2 linked regions of the Drosophila melanogaster genome follow. The gene in region 1 interacts genetically with each later gene. Each region holds a gene or a part of one and is shown on either strand. Other genes may lie near its edges.

The links.
Region 2: of dco (region 1) and Pdfr, changing one suppresses a phenotype caused by changing the other (phenotypic suppression), as found in Drosophila melanogaster (one study listed by BioGRID).

What each region holds. Positions count from the first base shown.
Region 1 is NT_033777.3:31,054,757-31,062,787, reverse strand, and holds the start of dco (discs overgrown), read left to right. Parts: upstream 1-1,577; 5' UTR 1,578-1,711; exon of another isoform or gene 1,712-2,323; 5' UTR 2,324-2,413; intron 2,414-4,145; exon of another isoform or gene 4,146-4,160; 5' UTR 4,161-4,248; intron 4,249-4,859; 5' UTR 4,860-4,936; coding exon 4,937-6,259; 3' UTR 6,260-8,031. UniProt on the Drosophila melanogaster protein: Serine/threonine-protein kinase which is involved in the circadian rhythm pathway, viability and planar cell polarity.
Region 2 is NC_004354.4:2,570,279-2,577,505, forward strand, and holds Pdfr (Pigment-dispersing factor receptor), read left to right. Parts: upstream 1-1,927; 5' UTR 1,928-2,388; coding exon 2,389-2,568; intron 2,569-2,695; coding exon 2,696-3,152; intron 3,153-3,221; coding exon 3,222-3,332; intron 3,333-4,193; coding exon 4,194-4,345; intron 4,346-4,584; coding exon 4,585-4,842; intron 4,843-4,913; coding exon 4,914-5,210; intron 5,211-5,276; coding exon 5,277-5,540; intron 5,541-5,615; coding exon 5,616-5,776; intron 5,777-5,838; coding exon 5,839-6,175; 3' UTR 6,176-6,727; downstream 6,728-7,227. UniProt on the Drosophila melanogaster protein: Receptor for PDF, a neuropeptide controlling circadian behavioral rhythms. Probably regulates circadian behavioral rhythms through coordination of activities of clock neurons. PDF-binding results in the elevation of cAMP synthesis.

The sequences.
Region 1 (8,031 bases):
AAAATACAACAAAATTAGGAAATAAATTGTCTTAGTATCCCAATAATGTGGCATACTTTTTTACAGTGTTCTTTGAATGGATCATTTACATACACGCGTCTCGCTCGGTTTTTATTGCTTCGCACCTACATATTTGGTTTACTTTTTTCGTTATTTATTTGTTGGTAGTTGACCATCGGTCGAAATAACGACGATTTTCATTCGTCGGCGATCGCACGTCTTTGCGTGTGTGAGTGGGAAAGATATGCTTTGAATTAGTGTGTGTGTGTGAGCGGTTAAACGAGTTGTTTTCTCGTTTTACTTGTTGTATCTTCAATTGCCTCGTTGGATTGCTTTGTTTTCTCTTTTTCCCAGCCAATGGGAGACAAAGGCGGGTTTTTACGAAGATCTTGAACGATTCACCAATAAATTGAAAATGGAGATTTCTATAGTTGCATAAAAAAAATGCATTCTGGCTAATGTATATAAATACAGCAATGGAAAATTAAAATCGTAGGCAAGTGCAATTAATGTGATTTATTTTGTCTATATTTCATTTTAAATTGCCAGCCCCAATATCGAATCGTTACACTCTTTTCACCCCTTTTTTTGTTATCATTTTCGAGTGATTGCTTATCTACCCTACCCCCACTTAAAAAGAAACACACCTTGGCACATACTCCCAAAAAAAAAAAAACACATTTTCTCATATATGCATACATAACTGGATCTGCTTCCTTTTTTTATGTCATCGTTTCTTGGGTTACACAGCCGGAAAATGCACGATGTGAGGGTAAATGGGGAAAGCGGTTGGGCGGACTAATGGAATTCACACGTGTTTTGCTTTATTCGTATTGCTGCAATAAAAGTATACGTTTCAGGTATTTCGATACATCTGTGTAACATCAAAATTGGCATGCTACCTATAACTGCAAGACATGCCAATGAAATCCATTTTCAATTTCTATTTACACGAGAATTTGGAGCACAAGCCTGTAAAAAGAGTTAACAACTTTTCTTAAGAACATTGCAAATTAAGACATAAATTTTATTTACATATTATTGAGTTATCAAATTTGTATATTAGTATAAATATCATTTCAGAATGATTTTTTTTTTTTTGTATTGTTTATTGTATTCTCTTTGAAAATAAAATTAAGCAGATGGGCCTTTGAATGCATAATTCAAAAACTTTCAATAACTTTAGATATTTTCAATTGCATTTCTGAAATAAGGCGCCACCTTTTGTTTCGGGCGCCACCTGGATACCACTTTCGCCAACTCATCCGCTAGGTGGCGCAGCTCAAAAATATTTTTCGTCCATCTGGCAGCACTGGGTCTATGTAAGAACTAGTGTGCCCATATAACAAAAACAGCGTTGTCAACTTGGCTATTTCACAGCTTTCCAGTTACTCGAACTTTGAACTTATGGCTAGCTGCAAGGATATAATTTCGTTTTTCTTTTGATTTTCCAATACTCTTGCGCTATTTTCTTAATGTGGTACTTCGAAACCAACTTTGGACTATCTTAACTTAGTATATGAATCACAGTTTTTCACAATTACATATCTTCTAGACATTCGCTGAGGAGTAAATACCAGATGGTAATTTTCTTCATTATCGGCGCGGTCACACTGCGAATATCAAGATGGCGTAAATTTGTAAAAAATCGTCGAAATCTATGTGAAATAGCCAGAAAAATTGAAACGAAAGCGCAGCGTTGATGCAAAACGTAAGTGGTCAGTAGCGTTTCGGATCGACAGACCCGTTTGCGAGCGAAAAAGCGGCGGTTACCACGCGCAGGAAAACTCGAATTTCCCAACAGCATTTCAGTGCTCATTGAGAGTGCGAGTGTGTGAGTGAGTGCCCTCGTCTTTGTGTTGGTGTGAAAATGCTGAAGCAGGAGGGATAGCAACGTGCTCGCGGTAGAAACCGTGCGAGTGCGGGCGGGACGACTAGTGTGCACGAATCTATTGCCAGGGCAAACGACTCGCATAAGTTTGGTTTTTTTAATAAGAGTCCGAGTTCCGTTTGGTTTCGTTTAATTTTCTCGAGTTGATTGGCAACAAGATGCTAATCAATGTGGCCATAAAATCAGAGAAGAACAGCATAACCGACTCGAAGATAAACGATAAAAATAACTGAAATATGGCAGCAATGCAGTATTATTAAAATTATTGCATAAAATGCGCTTGCGTGTGGCCCCAAAAAGTGCGACTGTGTGCGTGTGTTTGTGTGCGACTGTGGCAACTACAACAAAAACAACGTCTGGGCTCTAAAACAAAGAAAATGAAAATTATTGTGGCAGAATCAATCCAATTAAAAAATTCGATTTCGATTTCAGTCGAATTAGAAGAAGGAAAAGCAGCGTCGCCAGCAGAGGAAGTGGGCAAAGCGGAATAGGAAACAAGGAATATAAGAAAAACAAGCCACGGTAAGTGCGGAATTTGTTCCACTGTGCGTTCAAGTTTCCCTTCTCCACCCGCTATCGGCTGCTCCTTATCAGCCCCGTTATTCGCAGTGCATTCGTGGAGTGCCGTTAGTTTTCGGAGGCCATTAGCGTTTGACAATTAATTGCAAGTTTCCTTCCCCTTCTGAGGTTTCCCCGTTGGTTTTGCTCTGGTTTTTGGTTTTTCCATTTGCTCTTCCCTGTTTACTTAAGCTTTTTACTTTTGTGGCGCCTGCTGGAACAACTGTTTTTTGTATCTTCTTTGTTCTCCAGTGCGTTTTTTTGCGGAAGCTTTTCGGCAGCCGCCAACGCAACGTGCAGCTGTTTTGCAATTGTAATCAATTCGTGTTTACCCGCTGGTCCGAAACAACTGCTGGATACCCTGGGAAATATTTAGTTACCAATAGGAAAGACCGCGTTTTCCCTGCTAGCCTTCCAGTAAACAAATTAAAGCTCCTAAAATTAATACCACATTTCAATTTGACTTACAGTGCTTATACAGTGATTTCTTTCTGTGTAGAACATGGGAGATACAAATAAAAAACGGTACATTTCGGTTAAATAAATCAAAGCCAAGGCGAAAACAACAACAAACACAGGCAGGTTTTGAGGTTAGAACCGCAGAGTGAGTGATAAAGAGTCGGGAAAAGGAGGAGAGAGAGAGAGAGAGAAAGAGAGAGAGCGATCGAAATGCGTGAGCGGTAAAAGAAAGCGCACAGAATGTGGGAAAGAGGAGTGGGAAGGGGTTAGTGAGTGAGAGCCGCCGAAAACAATTAAACTAAATTTTTGTGATATTTGACCGGCAAGTGAAAACTTTCGGCTTGTTGCTTCGTTTTCTGACTTCCATGCGCTTTATCTTCGCTATTTGTTTGTGCTTTCCACCACTGAAAGTGTCATTTAAGTGGCATTTTCACAGTCGCTGCGTTTTATTTTACTTCTCTCCCTTTTGTCGCCGATTGTTTACTCCACGCATACACAAACACACGTCTCTTTTATCTATTTGTTGTTAATCTCTTCGTTGTCTTTTCCTGATTGCTGATTCACCTCCATGTTTCTGGTGTCGTCACGTAAAAAATACACTTGAAAAAAAGAATTATATCTATTCAAGGATGTAAAAGCACTACGGCACATTTGCTTTATTTTATAATAGTACAATATAATATTAAAATGACTAAAACAATAATGTGACGAATGTCAAAAAGTAGTGCTATTTTGCTCTGTGCATATAAATTATCGTTACTCATCACTTATTAAATCTGTTGTTTTCCCCATTCGTAATCAATACACACAGCCGAATGCAATGACGCACTCACTCTTAAATATAAATATACGAGATAAACTTTTACTTTGTGCGAGGTTCGGGTTCTTATCATTTTTGCCCACTGTGCATTTGCATTTCGAATTGCTTTTGGTACGCTTTTCTCTGCTATTTTTGTGTTGTCAACGTAAGCCAAGCTTACTTCTCTCCCGCTCTCTCTCTCTTGTTTTATTCTTAGCTAACGGTTTTCTATTTTCGATATCGATTGTTGCCGTGCGTTGTTTTCATGTCTGTGTGCCACAATCCTTATCACCACAAACAAAAGCGAATTCTGCACGTTTTTCGGGCTTACGCTGCAGATGCGATAAAAACAGGGGATTACTCTCTATATATAAGTGATCGCGAGACGGGTCGAATTTCGATTAACCATGTTGAGGATCTAAAAAAAAATTAACTTAGTACCTCCTATTACAGAACCCTTCGAATACAAAGCCATAAGCGACTGCCTTGAACAAATCGGAACAAGAAGAAGAAAGGAGCTCAGACGAAAGGACAGTGCCAGGTGAGAAAAGTGGAGAAGTGTTGGAAAATACTCACGAAGCTCCGTTAGCTCTCAAAATTAGACTTTTAGCAAACTGTACAAAACAGCAGGGTTGTCATCACGTGTCACAATATAGTGTCAGAAGAATCAAAAGTTGTAGCAAACAAAATCCGACGAATATTTTATCACTATCGCTAACAAGGCGTTCGATATTGTGTTGTTGCTTGCAAATAATCTCTTCTAATAATATCACACATTGTTGCTAGTGGTCAATAGCCGAATTTTCGAAGTCACTTGATTCATATTTACTCGTAAAAACCTGTGACGCCGCTGCTATTTCTATGATTAGTCAAAGCAACTAAGAATACTACGAATATTTACATTCTGATCGAATTCAACAATTTGCCTGCATCGTAGCAACCTTTCAATATCCTTTCGCGATTACAAAGTAAAAGTTTTAGTCCTTGGCGTAGATATTTAAATCTGTATAATATTTTAAGCGCAGCTAATCTGAACTGGGATCGATCAATTCGTGTAGCGTGTAGTATTATGAGTAAGAAAAGCGTACAGCCTTCTTTTCGAGGCAATGTGTTGTAAAATTAAAACTAAATTTCAATTCTCCGGTCCCGCAGAAAGGCAACGCAAATCCGAGGAACCCGAGGAGTCCGAACTCTACCACACAGAAACCCACAGAAACAGACGTAACAAAATGGAGCTGCGCGTGGGTAACAAATATCGCCTGGGCCGCAAGATAGGATCGGGATCGTTCGGCGACATCTACCTGGGCACCACGATCAACACTGGCGAGGAGGTGGCCATCAAGCTGGAGTGCATCCGCACCAAACACCCCCAGCTGCACATCGAGTCAAAGTTCTACAAGACGATGCAGGGTGGCATAGGCATACCCCGCATAATCTGGTGCGGCAGCGAGGGCGACTACAATGTGATGGTGATGGAGCTACTCGGACCCTCGCTGGAGGACCTCTTCAACTTTTGTTCACGCCGCTTTTCGTTGAAGACGGTTCTGCTGCTGGCGGACCAGATGATCTCCCGCATCGATTACATACACTCGCGGGACTTCATCCATCGCGACATCAAGCCGGATAACTTCCTCATGGGTCTTGGCAAAAAGGGCAACCTGGTGTACATCATTGACTTTGGCCTGGCCAAGAAATTCCGCGATGCCCGGTCGCTGAAGCACATTCCCTATCGGGAAAACAAGAACCTCACGGGCACTGCCCGCTATGCCTCCATCAACACACATTTGGGCATTGAGCAATCGCGTCGTGACGACCTGGAGTCCCTGGGCTACGTCCTAATGTACTTCAATCTGGGCGCCTTGCCCTGGCAGGGCTTAAAGGCAGCCAACAAGAGGCAAAAGTACGAGAGGATCTCGGAGAAGAAGCTGTCCACCTCGATTGTGGTGCTGTGCAAGGGCTTCCCCAGCGAGTTCGTCAACTATCTGAACTTCTGTCGCCAGATGCATTTCGACCAGCGTCCCGATTACTGCCACCTGCGCAAACTCTTCCGCAACTTGTTCCACCGTTTGGGCTTCACTTACGACTATGTGTTTGACTGGAACCTGCTTAAGTTTGGCGGACCTCGCAATCCCCAGGCGATTCAGCAGGCGCAGGACGGAGCGGACGGCCAGGCGGGTCATGATGCGGTGGCCGCAGCAGCGGCGGTGGCAGCAGCGGCAGCCGCCTCCTCGCATCAACAACAGCAGCACAAGGTCAATGCGGCGCTGGGTGGCGGAGGAGGCAGTGCAGCGCAACAGCAACTCCAGGGCGGCCAAACGCTGGCGATGCTGGGCGGCAATGGAGGCGGTAACGGCAGCCAACTGATCGGCGGCAACGGACTCAACATGGACGACTCGATGGCGGCCACCAACTCGTCGAGACCGCCGTACGACACGCCGGAGCGTCGGCCTTCGATACGGATGCGGCAGGGAGGCGGTGGTGGCGGCGGTGGAGTGGGCGTAGGCGGTATGCCGAGCGGCGGAGGGGGCGGTGGCGTGGGGAACGCCAAATAATATTTTATCGTTTAGGTTGCGACGCTGGACACGACACAGTAGACAAACAACAACAGAACTCAACAAACTATACATGTAGTATATATAGTTATATATACCTAATATATATAATACTTGCTTTATATATGCGGTAAAACACGTTGAATGTATCCAAGCGGCAGGATGACCAGGTCCCTGCCAGAAACGGAGGACAAGAGCAGTGAGAGAAGAAGAGCAGAGCATAGCAAAGCGCAGCGCTTTTCTTTTTTTGTGTGTACATTTTCGTTTGTTTTTTGACATTTTGGTTTCTGCTCCCAGATGTTAGAACGTTGAGCGCGCTTATTATTAATTAACTAGCCTATGATTAATTTAATTTATACTATTAGAACATAAACGATTGCAACCTGGCTGCAAGAAACTGCAACAAACCGCACTGTTCAATTGATTTGAGATCCCTGCCTGAAGATTGGCCAATAGATCGGCGGTTGATTAGGGGTCCGCGGAAGGGTTTGGGAGGAGGGTTAGCAGGACACGCAGGCATTTAATTCTGTTTTGCATTTGACTATTTGCTCTTGGCCGGCTCAACTTTTTCTTTGTTAACTTGAAGTCCCAGACCAAATCAGGCAGAACATGCAGAACCGATCATGAACACATAATAACTCGATTGTAAGTGTAATATTTGTGTAAAAGAAACAAAGGACACCGCGTTCAGCGAGTGTCCCTAACCCTAGACTATAGGCTCTAGCTCTAGCGAATCCAATCCATACAAAAGCATATGCCACACAGCAAGGCACCCACATTGTAACCTAAGTTGATGGTAAAATGATTGCGATTACCACGTGCAGTTCTCTAGCTTTAAGCAACGCTCTGACTTATAAGGCCCTCCTATGTTATATTATGTAACCTTCTGTACCGCCTACTCCCCTATCTATATATATATATTTATATATATATATATATATATATATATATATATATATATATATATATATATATATATATATATATACTTTCGTGGTCTGCACTTTGCTGCCTGTGTTCATATATATCTTTCCGATTTTTAAACACTTAAGCGCGCATTTCCCGAGCGGTGGGCAAATGGGATGCGAGATGTGGGAGCTGGGAGTTGGGGCAGCCCTTTGTTTACGCAACAAAATCATGTAACTAAGATAGAGAGCATATAAATTGCGTTAGACATACACAACAAAACAATTGCATTAACGTTTCGATTTAACAATGTAAGTAATGGCCCTGCGGAGGAAAGTTACACAACGCTAGCTAATAAACTATAGCTATAATATGAAATTTGTTTATAAGTAATACCAAACCGTAAAATAAAAAAGGAAAATGCAAAAAAAAAACTTAAATTCTAAATGCGCCAAGAGATAATGAATGGGTAAAAATATGAATATACATTAATATAAACTATATCTTATGAGAACACGTAAACATGTAAACCCCACAGCGATCGGCTGGCTAAGAACTAACAAATCAAAGAAATGCAAAACACAAATCGGATCACTGAACGCAGAAGCCACTAAAACTTAAATAAAAGTACATTACGTGATATTTCTTACAAATTGTTTTGTTTTCTAATCGGTTTGTTTCAGTCATTTTACTTTTATTTTTCGAACACAACTCCATTCGAAGCGCACGCCTTGCAAACGACCAACCTTGTAAACACGACCATATAGCGCATTCAGATTAGGGGATCCGCGACCGTGGAGAAGCCCCAATCCTCCTCCCCAAACCGAGAATTGAGAACCTAGTGATGAGTGTACATAAGAATAATA
Region 2 (7,227 bases), on another chromosome or scaffold:
CAATTTTCAAGTCGAGCGACGTCAGCTGAAATTACTTTATAATCTTGTTGATTGCTGATTGCACTTATTGCACATTTAAAGCTCCGTCCACTAACGAATTTAAGTTCACATAAATCCTGATTGCCTGTCACTATCCACTATGAGTATCCACCCATCAAGTGGAATTGACAAGCTATTTGGGGCATTGCAATGCGTGTTAAATAATTGAATTGCTGAGTGTTCAATAAGAAAGTTGATTAATTATTCAAACGGCCCAGCATGTTTGGGTTTCCAAATTGTAAACAATCGAGTCCAGAGCTCGTTCAATTATCGGCCTGAAAATGGATTGCTCAAGTCAAAAAAAAAAATATATGCCAAGGGCGTAATAAATATAAAAATGTGCTTATGTAATATGCAAGAACATTTTGATTAACAAGCCTCTTCTCGATTGCCAACTACCAACTACCAATAATATTTGTAAGCTCTACTCTGTACACACTTTACACACAAACAAATTGCAGTTGAACAAACCACTTTCCTCAATGTAATTAAATTTTAGTTACTTTCTGTTTCTGACTGGTGCTAACTTTAAATTGCACAAGTATTTAAAGGGGTCCCTTAATCCCTCAACCCCATAACCCGCACGCTGCAACTGCTGCCAAGTGACCCAAATCAGGGTCTGTTGTCTGCTTGGAGATGCCGAATCGCGGCATCCAGCATCCATCCAGTTGGTTATCCAATCCAATCCAAGCCAAGCCAAGCCAAGCCAAACCAAACCGTTTCCAATCCCTGGCCCCGCCACTGGCTTTTCAGTCGCTTTGGAGGGGATTTTGCGCTTAGTTAGCTTAATTACGAGCGCGAGCTGAGAATCGGTTCGCTGCGGCGATAAGCATCGATTGGTAAATAAGCAGCGAATTCAAGGCTCCCGAAAGGCTTAATATCTTAATTACTTAATTATATATTTTAAATATATATATATATATACATATACCGTATATATCGTTGATTTTTTGCGCTGTGGGAGTGCTTAGTCGCAAAGTTTTTGCTAATGCTGCACTTCGTCTGACGCTGGCGCTTATGCAACCAAAATACATATTGAGCAGTACAAAGCCAGTGGAATGCCCCCAGGGATGCGGAAATGCGGAAATGCAGAGATGGATAGCTGAGGGGGGGGAGGGAGGTGGGTGAGCGTGTGGGTGGAGCATAGCCTGCATGCATGCATTCGTGTGCAGCGACTACTGGCGAAATTGAAATTCTTATGAAATTATATAAAATGCACTCAAAGGCATTTTTGGGGCAGCTTAGCAACACAAGCAACACAAGCAACACAAGCAACATGGGCAACATGAGCAAAATGTGCAACTTTGGCCACTTTGGACGACCGTCCTCCGCATGGCTTGTTTACGCAATTCCGGAAGTGAAAAAACCAAAAAAAGAAAAAGAAATAAAAGTTGAGGCAAAAAAAAGCGAATGGCAACGTGTTTCCTGTGCCATTCCGCCGCCATTTGCTGCTGCTGCTGCTGCTGCTGCAACGCAACCAAGACAGGAAGAAATCATAATTTGTCGTGTGCGATTGTCATTGAAGTAATTTACATTCCGTTTAGCCTTGGCCATAAATTGCGCAGAGGAAAATATGTGATGCCGTCATTAAAATATGAAATCTTGTTTTTCACAAAACGTGCCACTAAATGATAAACAAGCTGTTGTTTTTCATTGGGAATTACTCCATCTCATTTGTGCAATGATAAAAGCATTACATTTTCGAGTCTGCACGATCGTATCATCAGTTGTTTGCAGGACCTTGAGTTCTTCATACAAAGTTTTAGCTGCTCATTTTTAATCTGTTCCTTGTGCAGAGATTACACTTCTCCGAAAAGAGCCGACACGTAAATTGGAAAAGGGTTAGTGCAACTGTTGTTGCAATTACAATTCATCACATAGCCCGTAGTTCCTCTTCCTGCTGCACAGAAAGAAATTGGTATGTGGCGATCGTTGCAATGCCATGCAATTCAATGCCCAATTCAAAAATATTTGAAATGTGTAAACAACTCACTTGTTTTCTTTTCTGCGTGCATGTGGTGCTCCTGGCCATTTGCCATTTCGCCAGGCATAATCCCGACAATCGGTGCGATGTGGGTGATACGAGTGCGAATGCGAATGCGAATGCCAATGATATGTGTATTGTATGTATGTGCATACATATGGCGTCGTAGCGTGTGGGCGTGATGTTTGCACTCCGGTGCAGCGGGACTATAAATAAGCCGGGTATTTATTAGGGGCAATCATAAACTGCGTTAACGACGGGCACTCTGCCAACGAGAATAAGATCCGGTAAACAAAGGCACCGGTCGACGTACGTCTCATTGTGCGATAAGCTTTCAATTAAATCTGACCCGGATAACGGGGCGCATGGGTGCGGGAAATCGGAAATCGGAAACGAAAACGAAAACGGAAGCGGAAATCGAAATCGAAATGGAAAGAGATCAATTTTCAATTGCAGCCAATGCATGCATGTCCATGGGTCCAATGCTAATATCGAAAGACAAAGCTCCGTGTTCTGGAGGTCGTGTTCGCCATGCAGACTCATTGGTTGGTTGGGTTTAACTCGTACAAAGTTTGATGGGTTTGGGATTGTTTTTTTTTTTTTTTTAGAACGATATAACTCGATATAATGCTGGTGCGTAAATAACAACGATGTTCATTGTTCGCTTTGCAGCACATTTACTATGCGGTCGATGGCAAAATGACCCTCCTGTCGAACATTCTCGACTGCGGAGGCTGTATTTCCGCCCAGCGCTTCACCCGCCTGCTGCGCCAGTCCGGCTCATCAGGACCATCCCCATCTGCACCGACGGCCGGAACATTTGAATCAAAATCCATGCTGGAGCCAACATCCTCGCACAGCCTGGCGACCGGACGCGTGCCACTACTGCACGATTTCGATGCCTCGACAACGGAATCGCCGGGAACGTATGTCCTCGACGGTGTCGCCAGGGTGGCCCAATTGGCCCTGGAGCCCACCGTCATGGACGCACTGCCCGATTCGGACACGGAACAGGTTCTCGGTAATCTCAACAGCAGCGCGCCCTGGAATCTAACGCTTGCGTCGGCAGCGGCCACCAATTTCGAGAACTGCTCGGCGCTTTTTGTCAATTACACCCTACCACAAACAGGTACCTAAAGCCTAATAACTTTTAAATCATATTGCAGTATTTTTTTTTTTTTTTTTGTTGCCGGGATAGGACTCTACTGCAATTGGACCTGGGACACATTGCTCTGCTGGCCACCCACTCCGGCTGGAGTCCTTGCACGGATGAATTGTCCTGGCGGCTTTCATGGCGTAGATACGCGCAGTAAGTAACTGAAATACACTCTAAAAAAAAAGCAGCCGAAAAAGAACATGCTGAGTACAATTAGCATAATTAATCGTTGAAGCTGTTTAGCTGTTTAGCAGCCACAAGAAGCTTTATGACTTCTGCCGGCTTATTAGGAGTCAAAAGACATGTCCTACGGTGTTTATCCCATCCACACGGCATATCTGGCGGTCACAATCATACGGATCATTAGCTGGGAAACGGTTCAAGTGGTGCACGGCAAACAATTACTTGATTCCGTATTCATCGAAAGGATGTCAATATTTACATGCATGACTGGGGGCGTCCAATCAACCGCACTCCCAGTCGGGGCCGCCCCTCCTTGGCTTCCATCGCCGGGGGCTGTCCAGGTGTTTCATGTGCACCCTCGAGCTCCGCCAGTTGAACAGGGTTTAAAACACCAGCCAATCGATTGCTTAATTACGATCCTAAATGCTTGCTCTACCCCTCCGATAAATTAAACGTTCTGCAATGGGGAATTGCTATTTAATAACCATGGGCGATATACACTGAGCGAAAAGATTCTAAGTAGCTGACTTACCACCCAATATTTTACAAACTTAAAATGCTCTTCCATTATCACTAGTGAATGTATTATCTGCGCTTGTGGTGCAAAATCTAGGCATATCGAACTATATCTGTTAAGAAATAATTATTCGAGTGCATTGTTGAGCTACGGCCTCATTTCTCCGGGCCGTGTCTAGATTTTTAGCCCCAATATTTTCAACTGGACGAGGTCGGTCGCCCATTCGATTGGCATAATTGCACTTGTCAGTCAGTGTGTCAAAGCTCGATTACTGTCATTAATCCAACCCAACCTCCCTCTTTTTCGGTTCGCAGAATTCGCCATCCGAAAGTGTGAGCTGGATGGTCGATGGGGCAGCAGGCCAAATGCCACGGAGGTGAATCCGCCGGGATGGACGGACTACGGGCCGTGTTACAAGCCGGAGATTATCCGTCTCATGCAGCAGATGGGCAGCAAGGACTTCGATGTGAGTTGAATTCTTTCCACACTACATCATAATACCTGTTTCAGTTATAGTTAAGAGCATTGCTTAAATGCCAACCAAAATCCCAAATCAAGGGTATGGTTTTGAAATTACCTAATAGGGTTCCAAGTTTTTTAGACACCCTAAAAAGTGATTTCAAAGGCCTGATTACATTTGTTGATAGTGGTTTATAGTAGTAGTTTTAATTCCATTTCTTCCAACTGGTTTGCGATATCCCTTAGGCCTACATAGACATTGCCAGGAGGACTCGAACCCTGGAGATCGTGGGCCTCTGCCTCTCCCTGTTCGCCCTTATAGTTTCCCTGCTGATCTTCTGCACATTTCGCTCGCTGCGAAACAATCGCACCAAGATCCACAAGAATCTTTTCGTCGCCATGGTGCTGCAGGTGATCATTCGCCTGACCTTGTATCTCGACCAATTCCGGCGGGGAAACAAGGAGGCGGCCACCAACACGAGTCTCTCTGTCATTGAGAACACGGTAGGCTTAATATTCCCGCATAAGGATAAGGTATAAGGCTTATGTTCGATATTATATGTTATGTTCTACAGCCCTATTTGTGCGAAGCATCCTATGTACTTCTGGAGTACGCTCGTACCGCCATGTTCATGTGGATGTTCATCGAGGGCCTTTACCTGCACAACATGGTCACCGTGGCCGTTTTCCAGGGCAGCTTTCCCCTCAAGTTCTTCTCGCGACTCGGCTGGTGTGTGCCCATTCTGATGACCACCGTGTGGGCGAGATGCACGGTCATGTATATGGACACCTCGCTGGGCGAATGCTTGTGGAACTATAATCTCACGCCCTACTACTGGATCCTCGAGGGGCCACGACTAGCGGTCATACTGGTGGGTAATATCAACTGTTGATCGCTTTAATCACCTATTCACCCAACTGAAAACATCCGCATGCAGCTAAACTTCTGTTTCCTGGTGAACATTATCCGAGTGCTGGTAATGAAGCTGCGTCAATCGCAGGCCAGCGATATAGAACAGACTCGCAAGGCAGTTAGAGCGGCTATAGTCCTACTACCACTTTTGGGTATAACCAATCTCCTGCACCAGCTGGCTCCTCTGAAAACGGCCACGAACTTCGCGGTCTGGTCGTATGGCACCCACTTTCTCACCTCGTTTCAGGGATTTTTTATAGCGCTAATTTACTGCTTTCTAAATGGCGAGGTAAGACATCAAGTCACTCAGTTGTCCATTTGCCTAAAACCCTCACTATTTCCAACCAAAATATATATTTTTTAGGTTCGTGCCGTGCTACTAAAGAGTCTGGCCACCCAGCTGTCGGTGCGAGGTCATCCGGAATGGGCGCCGAAAAGGGCATCTATGTACTCGGGTGCTTATAACACGGCGCCGGATACGGATGCAGTGCAGCCTGCAGGAGATCCATCGGCCACTGGAAAGCGGTAAGCATCCGCTTTGTGCACACCCCACCTTGAAACTCCTTACATCAATTTAAAACTCCCAGAATATCACCGCCGAATAAAAGGCTGAATGGAAGAAAGCCGAGCAGTGCCAGCATTGTGATGATTCACGAGCCTCAACAGCGCCAGCGACTGATGCCCCGGCTGCAAAACAAGGCGCGGGAAAAGGGCAAGGACCGGGTGGAGAAGACGGATGCGGAAGCGGAGCCGGATCCGACCATCTCCCACATTCACAGCAAGGAGGCGGGCAGCGCGAGATCGCGAACTCGCGGCTCCAAGTGGATAATGGGCATCTGCTTCCGGGGTCAAAAGGTACTAAGAGTACCGTCAGCGTCATCCGTGCCACCCGAGTCAGTTGTATTTGAGTTGTCAGAGCAGTAGACCAAAACCTAGCCTAACTAATAGATGTAGCCATAGCCGTAGCCAAATAGCCGTAGAAGTAGCCAACGCCATGTAGCCCACCACCACAGTAGCCAGCACCCACACAATCGGACCGGAAATGATCCCAAAGATAACCCAGAACCCGACTATTCCTGCATCTCCCATCGACCCACCAAGCAAGCCAGCTGGAAACAGCACATATGTAAAATACCCCAACAAAATATCGCAGTTCTTATACCCAAGATCATTTTGAACAGAAAGTAAGCTCATTGTTTTGTAATTCAAATTAAACCAATAGACATTTAATTTAAATAGTTATTTTCGCTTGCCTTCGGTTCTTGCTCCACTGTACTTATGTAAATACATACATACCTTTATTTGTGTAAGCCATATCCAAACCCTTTCCAAAATCTAGAAATCTCCTATCCTTTCGAAATCGGCTAATCCTACGAAAATTCAAATTTCCCTACAAGTTTTACAAAATATTTTTGATGACAATAAATTTCCAATAGCGTCACCTTCTGTTCTGGACACGCAAATACATTCAAAAACACTCGCACACGGTTCTTACTCGATGAATTTTTCAGCAAAACTTCAGCGGCATGTTCTTTTACTTCTACTATTCATATTTAAATATTAGATTGAAATATTTAAGTGAATTAACACAAACTTGCGGTAACTGCGCAGTGTGGCCAGGCTTTGTGAGCCATTAGAACTTATTACATAACATAATTGAAAAGTGACATTGTTTAAAGGAACTCACCTTTAATCAACTGTTGAACTTGCTGTTCATCGGATTCCGTTATTAAGTTTTAAGATTTGGGTTTACTTGTATTTACATTTTCTTTACCACTTTGATTAGCTTACACTTTCCGTTCCTGAGCTGGTCACACTGCCAGCTACAATCGATCACGTTCACTGCAACTGCCTTGAATTTTGCTAGCTGCGCTTTGTTGTGCAACAAAAACTTTGCCACAATCGATATTTAACTAATGGGGTCCATAATCGGAGACACATAAATGCAATAAATATCTTTTCGGCTATTCTCTCCT